Kluyveromyces lactis: one gene and its partner. The protein of the gene in region 1 interacts with the protein of each later gene in a biochemical or structural test. Links are inferred from orthologs where the notes say so. Each region holds a gene or a part of one and is shown on either strand. Other genes may lie near its edges.

Region 1 (4,385 bases):
GAGGTCTGAAAACTTTCTTAAAGGATAATTAAAAAACCAGTTTCAGAAGTAACTTTAAAACGTTTGGACTCTTAAAATGCGATGATAATATTCAATTGAAAGAGTAATTTGGAATATCGGTCCAAAATAAAAAGGAAAGATTTTCAACGGGCGATAAGTGATTGAGCAATAATCTTCAAAACCCAGTCTAAAGCTATAGCGATCTAACTTTTGTGAACTCACTCTTTAATAAAGTATAATGAAACACCAATTAATTTATTGCCGTACAAGCTGTCTGGCAATGTGGTAGTTAATCATTTCCTCTGTCTTATAATCTTTGTTAATCCAAAATTCTTAAATTTCAATCTCAATAGAAAGGGCAAGATAAATCGTTTGAAACGATATTAACCACCCCTTTTCTCTGATAGAAGAAATCGCACAAAGAAGGGGACGTGGTGGCCTGTTCACATCGTTGCGTACGGTGTATTCGGGTAACTTATTCACGTGTTAATGTTTTGTTTTGGGTCACGTGAGTCGCCGTATATTTCTATCTAGGTGTCAGTGCCAGTGCCAGCGTTTGTATCGTCTGTATCATCCGAATCTATTTGAAACTATTTGAATAAATACACAAGTTAATTTACTCATCCCTTTTTCTTACCGAAAAAACTCTCAAGTGTACGTTGACTGGAGCGAGCCTTCTTTTTCTCGACTGGTGTTGCTGGTTTCTTTGACGGTTCTGCCGTTTTCGCTGATTTCACAGGCTTTGGTGGTTTCTTCGTTTCTGTAGCTGGTCTCTTAGTAACCATGTATCCATCTTCGTCTATATATGTGGTCTGTTCTTTCGATTCGTGGACTGGCTCTTCTTTTTCCTTTTCCTTTTCCTTTTCTGGTTGAGATAGTTCCATTAAGGATTCGTCTACCGTCGTGTCAAGTAGTTCTTCTAAGTTTGTGACAGTGCGGTCTAGATTTACTGGTTGTGATTCTTGTGAAGGTACTGATTCTATCGCTACAGGGTGGTTTACTTCAGCCTCTTCTTCGCTTTCCTCTTTCTTATCACGCTTTTTAGAATTTTTATCGAATTGGGCTAAATCATCGTCATCATCATCGTCAAACATCGAGGCCAGTTGGTCCAATTGTTTTTGTTTCTCTTGGCTTACCACGACGTGATTTTTATCCTGCTGCTGGTGCTTCCTCCTTTCCAATTCCTCTTGTCTGTTCTTCTCCTTCTCCTCTCTTTCTCTTCTCATTCTGGCCAGAAGTTCAGTAGATTTTAGACCCATACTCTTAGTTGGTTTCTTAGGTTTTGTAACAGCAACTTCTGGGAACGTCTTTGCCCGTTGCTTCGTTACGACCGGTTCTGCCTCAGACTTTTTCTTGGGGCCGGCCACCATTTTTTGAGTCACATCTTGGGTGGTTATGTTAATTACACTTCCAATACCATCGCTTGTCTGGGGCCGTGTGCCATTTTGATTGTGCAGCTTGTAGGGGTTCTTGATCGTAACGTGTGTTCTTTCTCTATTTGTCAAATCAATAGTTTCCAGTGGGTTGAACGCATAGATGAAGAAATCCTTTATGTCTTCCTTTTCCGGTAGTTTCTCGGGATCCGTAATCATTTGTATTACATTGTGCTTCAAAACACATACTACAATGCATTGGATCGACTCATGTCTCGTAGTGCTATAGTACTGTACCATCTCATTCTTTGCTTTGTTCACATTTATCGAAAACTCATCGCACAAGTCTAAAAATGTTACAGGTTTACAGTCATTGATGAGTTTCTGCGTGATAAAATTCTCTATCGCTGTTACCATATTTCGATGATGATCAGCTCGAGCTTGCTTGCTCTTTTTATTATTCTCTCTCTTCAATTCTCATCGCTCTGTGCAGATAGCACTAAATGATGATTGAGTGAAGTTGCGTCTTTTTTTTTTTTGGTTAGCACCGTTTACGCGTAACAAAGTGTTGACAATTAGACATTAAGGCTCAATGGGGGGAAGCTTCGCAATAGTAGTGAAAGGGTCGATGTATGATACTAATGATCACCCCATATAAGAATTGGGTATATAAAATTATTACATAGTATGTGAAAGAGAAGGAACCACTCTAGTTTTAACTCTATTTTTAATGTAGTTAGGTTAAACAGAAATATTTTGAGCATGATGTAGGGGAAAAGGCAGTGACAATTATCAGTAATAGGTGTTGACGAAGCTTTTTCTACAACAGGATTCAAACACAGGTATAACCACCGTCAACTTGGATATCACAACCGTTGGTGTAAGAAGCAGCATCGGAAGCCAAGTATAAGTAAGCACCGACCAATTCTTGTGGCAAAGCTTCACGACCCACTGGTGTTAGACCCCACCAGTGAGCACGTTGTTCAGTAGGAACGAAGGAGGATAGCAGAGTATCAGTGTAACCTGGTGATACAGAGTTACATCTGATCTTACCAGCTGGAGAGGTCAAACCAGAGAATTCGACGGCGAAACCCTTGGCCATGTGTCTTACTGCAGCTTTAGAAGCGTTGTAACAGGTTTGGTAGTTTGGAACGTTACTGATGTAACTAGACATAGAAGCAGTCAAGATCAAATTACCGTGGCCTTGGTTCTTGAATACTTCAGCAGCGTACCTGCTACAGTGGTAAGTACCTTGGACGTTAACGTCCATGACTCTGCGCCACATTTCTGGGGTGGAACCATCGTTCAAGATAGAACCGTTAGTCCAGGCAATACCTGCGTTAGCAATGAATGTGTTAATTGCACGACCTGGGAAATCTTCCAAGATTCTTTCAAAGACAAATTTAACGTCGTCAGCGTTGGTAATATCTACTTGGTATGACTTGGATTCAATCCCGTAAGTCTTGCTCAAATGGACGGAAAGTTCTGGTTGGAAGGTTCTGTCCAAAATAATGACATCTGAACCACAAGAAGCGAAACCCTCACATAGAGCGCCACCAATGGCACCAGCACCACCAGTAATAACGGTCAATTTGCCCTTTTGACTGAACAAATTGAGGTAATTGACACCTTGTGGGTACTGTTCCGTTGGAGGAGCTTGTGGAACGACGGTGTCTTCAGTTGGAGTCTTGATGAAACTTTGGAATGACATATCTGTGTCTGATGAGGTTAATTGATAGTGTGGATTTCGCTTGTTCAAATTTCCCAATTATGAACCCAATTGAGGGAATAAAGCATATTGCAAGCAAGATTGGAGCAGCAATAGGGTTGAAACTAAAAAGTTACAATTATTTATATATGCATAATTTGTATTTTCGTTTCTTCGGATAAACTTAGAAGTATTTCACTTGAAAAATTATATGGTTTAGAACATACAAACATCTCAGGAATCAAATCAAAAAAAAAAAAAGCTACCTTGCTTTGTGCCTTTCCACCCACCCCCCACACATGCACACATATATACCGTACAAGTATGTGTAATGCAACTGAGGGACAAGTCATCTATTTGATTCCTCAAGCCAGTGTCCTTCCTTTATTACTGCCCCGATGTATTTTTTTTCCAAGCAATCAATACGGATCCCTAAACATACATCACCTCGACTCAGCTTCTTGATCAGTGTTTTCCCACAGAAGCCGTTGTACCTGCAAGCGGCGGGAAATCCAAAAAAAAAAAAAAAAAAAAATAGCCTCGGTGTCATCTTTTTTCTTTTGAAACCGGTGAAACTTCAAGGTCGACAAATAAAGAAAAGGAAAAAAAGAAAATCCCAGATTTCCACAACAAGGAAGAGCTTGCTCGAATTTGGGACTGAATCGGCCTACAATGTACTAGCTCATACTGTGCCGATTCAGATTAGGTTTCAATAATGTGGGGAGGGAAGAATCCGCAAGAAAGAAAGGAGAAACGGAAGCAAGAAAAAAAGAAAACGGAAAAACTAAAAGCTAGGCTATGTATCGGTCGAAACAGGCAGCCCTTACAATAGTTCCAGGGGAATCGTACATATTCCCACCAATGAACCCACACTACACATGGGCCTTGGATGGTGTTTGAAACAATGAGCACTAAGAAATAACCAGCCGAGATCAGAAGAAAAAACGGTCAGTTGCTCGCTCTTTTGAATCGCCCCTTTCTGTATTCCACTATGCCAGGCTTTAAACCTGGGGTAAATTACAGTGTGCTAAGGGAGTAATTACTACTCAAAAATGAAAATAAAAAAATAAAAAAAAATAAGCTAAAATAGCGAGCATGGATTTGAATATTCGTTAATAAAACCAAACAGATTGCAGATTGCGCGGGCAGGGAAACAGTTTTTTGTTTGTGTTCATTTTCTTTTTTGTGTTCGTGGTTGTTATACTGATTACCCATGGGCACTAAAACCTCCAGAAATGAGAAAACAAGAAGTTTATCCGGGTGACGAGAAATATTAGATAAGCAGCTTGTAGTCGGGTAACAAA
Region 2 (7,046 bases), about 1.8 Mb from region 1:
ACGATGACAAAAGAACAAAAAAATTCACAGAAGAGACTAAGATCCTTCTATCTATCCAACATCCGAATATAGTTAAACTCATAGATAGATTTGTTGAACCGGTCAGCAAAACACAGATTCAAACGTATTTGGTGCTTGAAAAGATCAATGATGGCGAATTGTTTGAAAGGATTGTTCGAAAAAATAACCTTCGGGAGGATGAGACTAAAGCTTTGTTTAGGCAATTACTAAATGGGTTGAAATACTTGCATAGTAGAAATATCATTCACAGAGATATCAAACCTGAAAATATTCTCTTGAGTATAAGTAAAAGACGTTCCCCAGAAGAAATTGCTTTAGGGCCCTGGGATGACGACGAATTAGATATACAAGTTAAAATAGCAGATTTTGGGTTGGCGAAATTCACCGGTGAAATGAAGTTTACCAATACACTATGTGGAACACCTTCTTACGTTGCTCCTGAAGTTTTAGTCAAAACAGGGTATACATCCAGAGTAGATATGTGGAGTGCTGGCGTTCTTCTATATGTTTGTTTGTGTGGATTTCCACCATTCAGTGAACAGCTAGCCCCACCTAGTATGAAAGAGCAGATATTGCAAGGAAAGTTTGCATTTTACTCACCGTATTGGGACAATATCGATGATTCTGTCTTACACTTAATTTCTAATCTACTAGTTGTGAATCCCGCAAGCAGGTTCTCTGTAAATGACGCACTTACGCATCCATGGTTCACCAGCAATAACGCTGAAGTCACGATGGGTAATGAAAGAAGATCTCAGTTAGAGCCAGGTAGACTACCAAAAACCTTCTCTGAATTATCTAATCTTCAAAAATAAATAATGTGTTCGTTATGTACCTGAAAGATTTACACTAGACAGATCCCAAAAATGTTACCATTTACTTAATTCTATCACTTTCTCTTGAAGTTCTTTCTTTGCCTTAACTCTCATGTAAAATATATCACAATTTTTATTAGAGCATAGAACCTCGTTGTGTAATGATCCTGAGCAGCGCTGACATTGCGTCCATAGTCTCGAAAAACGTTCCTCTAGCGTTCTTACGTCATACAGGGCCTCCATATATAATTCTCCTGATCTAGATAAGCAGTCATTGCATAACGGCCCTTCATTTTTACGGAGGACGCGCTTGCAACTCTTACAAGTATCGACCTTTTTAACAAAACTCATCAAGCCACCTTTTTGTTTCGAGGCTGCCCCAACTGGCCCACTTTGACGTTTGATGGATTTGACAATAAACATCGAATTTGCTTGTTTCTCACCGATGATAGGAGCAATAATACTTATAATTGGATTTTGTAGTTGATTACTCAAATAATAGATAGAATCTAGCTGGAGGTTCTGTTCAAGCACATACAGCGGGTCTTCTGCTCTATTAAAAAGTTTATCACCCCCACCGATTATAACATAATCTACACGGTCACCGACATTTGGACCGACACCGTCTCTCTTTTTCATGCGTTCAGCAAGCACAGCATGTGGTTGCGGATTCGTATAATTTGGTGCCAATGTTTTGGAAATGATCAATTTAGAGATATCACAACGATTTTGCAAAATATCATCGATAGTTTCTCGGATAAACTGCATAGCACCATCTACATTTCTACCAATCAATATCTTCTTCAAGACCTTGTTCATAACAATTGAGACAAGAGGACATGAGTCTCTTCTAACAGAGGCCAAACCCTTCTGGTCGAGTTTGTCATATTTTTTTGGATTAGTCCAATAGAGACCTGCGTACCTCTTTTTGTTAATCAATAGATAGGGAAAGTAAACTTTCTCAAATTCAAGTTTGATAGGGTCCTTGAACAGAGATGAAACATATGCAGCAGCCTCAGCACCAAGTTTCATAGATTCTTCTAAATCTGTGGTACCAAATTTGACCATGACAGAATCAGTATCACCGTAGACAACAACAGCATCATGAGATGCACCATTTTTGATACAGTATTTATTTTCCACGGCGTTCTTTGTAGTTTCGATCATGGTACGACCGAAAGAAGTGACAGAGGAAGAAATGGCTAGGCATGGTAACTTTCCAACAGTGGCCCCTGTAAAACCATACACAGAGTTTGCCGAGATTTTTAAAGCTAATTGCCTACCATTAAGAACATCTCTTTTGAAGGGGTCCGTTTCATTCTTTAAATCAAATTTGGCCTTCTTTCTGGCCCCAATCAATTCTTCCAAAATTTCCGGTAAAACACCACGCCTAACTTTCGAAGTGACGAAAATGTCATTGTTTGGAGTTACAATATAATCTTCATCAAGTTTGAGATTAAGTCTCTGGACTGTTGCTCTATCACACAATGTAGTATAACAAAGATTATGGGCCATCATAATACTTGGATATAGGGAACTGAAATCCAACGTTGCAATAGGAACGTCATAATATCCTCTCTTCGGTTCAATAACGGTCGCACCTTCATATTGCTCATCCGAACCTTGTGAACTCATGTTTGGAATTACTGTTTGAATTTGCAGACACTTTCTGAAAAGCTGTGAGATAACTTTGATCTGTTGACCACGAGCAAGTAAATACATGAACGGAACACCAGTGACTCTTGACATTTCCGTATAGTTAACCAATGCCATGAGTTTTTCCATAAGTCTCAGCGGAAGATACGCATCTTTCAAACAGTAAACCGCTAATCTTCTCCTTGTCTCACTGTCTCCATTCTGTAAAGTCGTGATAATACTGTGATGAACGTCCTCTTTCTGTTCACCTAAGAAATGAGCAGACACCGCGTTCAATGTGTAAGATCTCAATTTATACTCTCTTTGCACAAATTGCAGTAAATCCAATTGTAAACGTCCATCAATGTTGATGTTCTTGGATTCACGGGTACCGTAAGCTTTGGACGAAAAAGTAGATGATTTGACTTCTTGTTTTACGTTTGATAATCTTCCGAAATATGGGAATGACTGTACCCCCAATGCAGCCGCCCTATCAATCAAATACGGGAAATCGAAATTAGTGGTGTTATAACCTATAACAACATCGGGATCTACTTCAACAATAAAATCACGCCAATGTTCCAACATATCTGATTCTTTATCATGTTCAAATATCTGAGATCCGGTAATGGGAGAGCATGAGTTCACGGTGAAGACATTTCTAATGAAAGGTTTGGCAGCACCCGAGATACTAACAACATTAGCTATCTGTATCACAGAATCGTGTTCAGGTTCTGGAAAGACACCGGGCCTACCAGCACATTCAATATCGAAAGACATGATTCTTAGCGGAGCGTTATGGGACCATTCACCTTCTGCAGGATGTGCAATCAAATCCTTATAGTTTATATTGACTTCAAACTGGCATGTGGAGATTCGTTGGTTAACTGGAACCAATTGATACTTACTAGCGGGTAAAGTAATCCAGGACATTCCTACAATCCCACAATCGATCATCAGCCGGAGTGGGAAAGCAATGTTGTCGTATGTTGTACAACCACCAACAAACCATTTATCGTTCGGCTGAATGTATCCCTTCTCAAAACCTGTCCTAATCTTATTCAGCAGGTTGGGGTTCTTCACAAATATCTGTAAGAACGGAATCTTTGCATCTCCTGAAAACCCCCATATACTTTGCTTTGGAACAATCTTAATAGAATCCACATTATTCTCATAATGCTCGTTTAGGTACTGCTGAAGTGTCAAAATATTTTCCTGATGGAAACCCAGGGGCGCAGGAACGTAAAGATAATGTTTGAACCCCGTCACGTTACACAGTATAGAATTACCCTTGTCAGTGACCCCAAAAAATCTTATGACAATATTCGTATTAGAATCGTATTGACCAGGTAGCATCGCTTGCTCTGCATCCAATTGTTGAAATGAAATATCGCTCGTCTTTGCATTGAAATCCGCTGGAATAGGTACCCTAGACCATACTTTACTCTGACCACACTCTGTCTTTTCCACCAGTTCATGATCCATAAGCGAAAGTTCCTCCTCAAAAGCTGTAGGGTTACCTTTCCCCACCGTATCATTAACTTTACTAGACTTGTACCCTAAAACGTTCTGTTTCTTGAACTTGTCAGTAGGAATTATTTCTATTGTGGATACTGGTTCGCTCAACGCTGATCGATCAAACGATTGGGTCCTCTGTTTCTTGATATCTTGGAACGCATCCTCAAGCGTTTCCACTTCGCGAGCTCTCGTAATACCAACGGTCATTTCCCTCTTTCTGTCTCGGTTTCTTTCCCAATACACAGAAGAACCGTTTCCTCAAATACTTCTTGTTACAGAGACCAGAACCACCTTCTATATCCTATCCCTCTCTGCTTTGCTACCTGGATGCGTATATAACTTATTTGCTGATGGTATATTTGAATCATATTTAAGTGATGAGCAAGCAGAACGCGTCAAAATAACTTTTTTTAAGAAATTTTGGGGAATGGCATATCACGTGAAAACATGGGCACGTGACAAGAATTTGACCACGTGACACGATGTTTTTCCGATTCAGCTGGCGGTCTAATTCCTGCTTTTCACATTGTGGAAGGCAAGAAAGAGAAAAAAGAATTTTGAAAAATGTTCACACATACATGAAATACTGATTAACGGTTTTTTTGAATTAAAATACAGTGCTGAAGAACTGATAGACCAACTGAGATAAACTGGTTCTGGAGTACTGTCGCAAACGAAGCAGCTAATGGCCTGTAGCTTCAGCTATTCTTTGATACGGATTCTGGGTTAGTATAGAGAAGCAAGAGAAAGAAAGTCGGTTTATATCAGATATAACAGTTGGTTTTTTGTTGGGTTCACTTTTTCTGCCCTGGATATATACATATAAGAGGAAAGAAGACATATTACCAAGAGATAGACAATCTATCTGCAGTGATAAGTCCACAGGTGATAGACCAGCGGTGAGTTTTGCGAATTTTTTTTAGCTAATTGAGAGATATCTTGAAGTTGCAATTAATCAGAGTTTGATTTAGGAAATGTCAGAATACACAGAAGAACAGGAGCGGATAACGCTTGACATTCTTTCGAAGGATAAGCATGAGTTCTATGAGATGTTGAAAGTTGGGAAGTCAGCGTCAGAGAGCGATATAAAAAAGGCATATAGGAAACTGGCGATCAAATTACACCCAGACAAGAACAGACATCCAAGGGCCAGCGAGGCGTTCAAAAAGATAAATAGAGCATTCGAAGTGCTATCAGACGATTCTAAACGGAGGATTTTCGACCAGCTGGGCCATGATCCTGATGACAGAGCTGCGGCACAGGAATCGTATAGAGGAGGTAGCTCTGCGGCGGCAGCAGGGGGGCCACGATTCCGTGGGAATGCTGGATTTGGTGAACCATTCGGTGGTTCACCAGAAGATATATTTGAATTCTTGTTCAGAGGTGGTGGTCCAGGCGGACAGTTTGGCGGGCATCCATTCGGGGGGCCGTTCGGTGGACCATTTGGAAATGCAGGAGGCGCTACTTACTCATTTGGAGGCCCTGGTGGCTTCAAAGTGTATACGAATTATGATTCCCCGTTCGGAAGAAGAGCTCGTCGTACTCAGCCGCGTCATAATGATAACTCCGCAGAAAGGAAAGAGGAACCGAATACACAACTCATGATGCTCATAGCGCCATTCATAGTCATCATTCTATTGAACTTATTAGAAAGGTTGTTATTAGGCTGATTGATACCTCTTAAATTAAACGACCAAATAAACGGAAGTCCGGAGAAAGCACATAGCAATAAAAAAGATAGTAAAACATGATTAAAGAATTCTATCGATGTATATTACAAACTTACTATTTAACAGAACTTATTCAACGTAGCGCATCGGAAACTTTAGAAAGGGTGGATATCCTGGTAAAGAGTATCGGTTCATTCGAGATCCCTCATTCTGTTTTCAATTATTTGTTTTATTTCAAAATCATCTGGTTTAGAATTGAGTTTAAATCTTAGTTTTTTGCCTAACTTCGATTTGACACTCTTTTTGGTCACCTGCTTCTTATGGATGAGTTTACCACTGGGTAGCATTTCGTATTCTTCCGTATCAAAGTCTTTTATATCGTATCTATCATTTGTATTATAATTTGAATCTTCAGCACCATTCTTTTTGAAATTTACTGCTTTCATAGCATATTTCTTGACACTACTTGGATCCTTTTGGAAAGACCAGCTCTGATGCAACTCCCTGTGTGCAGCAAATTCCAATTTTTTCCGGATGTCATCTTTCTGCTCCAATTCTGCAAAAATATCACCATCAGTTGGCCATATCATCGCACGGAATGTTTGACATACGATATCTATCATCATAGGGAACATAATCAAAATCAAACAGCTGGCCCACCAAGTAATATCTCTTCCGAACTGGTGATAAAGACCAATTAGAACATCATATATCGCATTTTCGCCATAAATTCCAGGTAATAGGCAACACCACAATATCCAACCGATACAAGATATTAGTAAAGAGGCAAATGCTAGCCAATTTCTGTTTCTTGTTTCGATAAACTGACATTTCACATTTATCAAGAAACATATTGACGTGAAGTTTATAACCCCAATTGGATATATGGAATTATCTGATTGTGCTGTGAAACCCCAAATTTCAAAATTCAAAAATGTAATAAGCACTGATATCCCTGCAGCGGTAAGCATCCACACAAGGAAAATTTTTAAGTTGAATGCTTGACATTTCTGACCCATAGTATATAATTCAGGAACAGCTAACAATGTCATTGGTTTTAAGTCTTTCTCAAACATACCAATACAGATGACTGGCAACGAAGTGAAAAGGGTATTAAACATGGACAAAGACCATGGTTCGTACAAAGAAGTACCAGAGAACATAGTCTGCCTTTGATATATCATTTGAGTCAAATAGAACAAAACTTCTTTGTAGAACGTGCATAAAACGAACTTTGAAGTTCTCACATAATTGTACCGTCCATGAACAAACAATAACTTGAGTAGATATCTGAACTGTGCAATGGAGTAGTCAGAAGAACGTGATGCTTGTAACCCTTCTTTACCAGTTATACCAACACCAATATCGGCAGATTGAATCATAGCAA

The links.
Region 2: the proteins of POL32 (region 1) and POL3 form a complex in vitro, tested with the Saccharomyces cerevisiae proteins (3 studies listed by BioGRID). The link is inferred for Kluyveromyces lactis from reciprocal best matches to the Saccharomyces cerevisiae genes POL32 and POL3.

The regions. Positions count from the first base shown.
Region 1 is NC_006041.1:1,995,592-1,999,976, reverse strand, and holds POL32 (DNA polymerase delta subunit POL32), read right to left. Parts: upstream 1,791-4,385; coding exon 621-1,790; downstream 1-620. Other genes in the region: KLLA0_E22397g (uncharacterized protein), read right to left, coding at 2,206-3,084. UniProt on the Saccharomyces cerevisiae protein: DNA polymerase delta (DNA polymerase III) participates in chromosomal DNA replication.
Region 2 is NC_006041.1:150,125-157,170, forward strand, and holds POL3 (DNA-directed DNA polymerase delta POL3), read right to left. Parts: upstream 4,197-7,046; coding exon 891-4,196; downstream 1-890. Other genes in the region: serine/threonine protein kinase DUN1, read left to right, coding at 1-836; type I HSP40 co-chaperone HLJ1, read left to right, coding at 4,964-5,659; aminophospholipid-translocating P4-type ATPase DNF3, read right to left, coding at 5,851-7,046.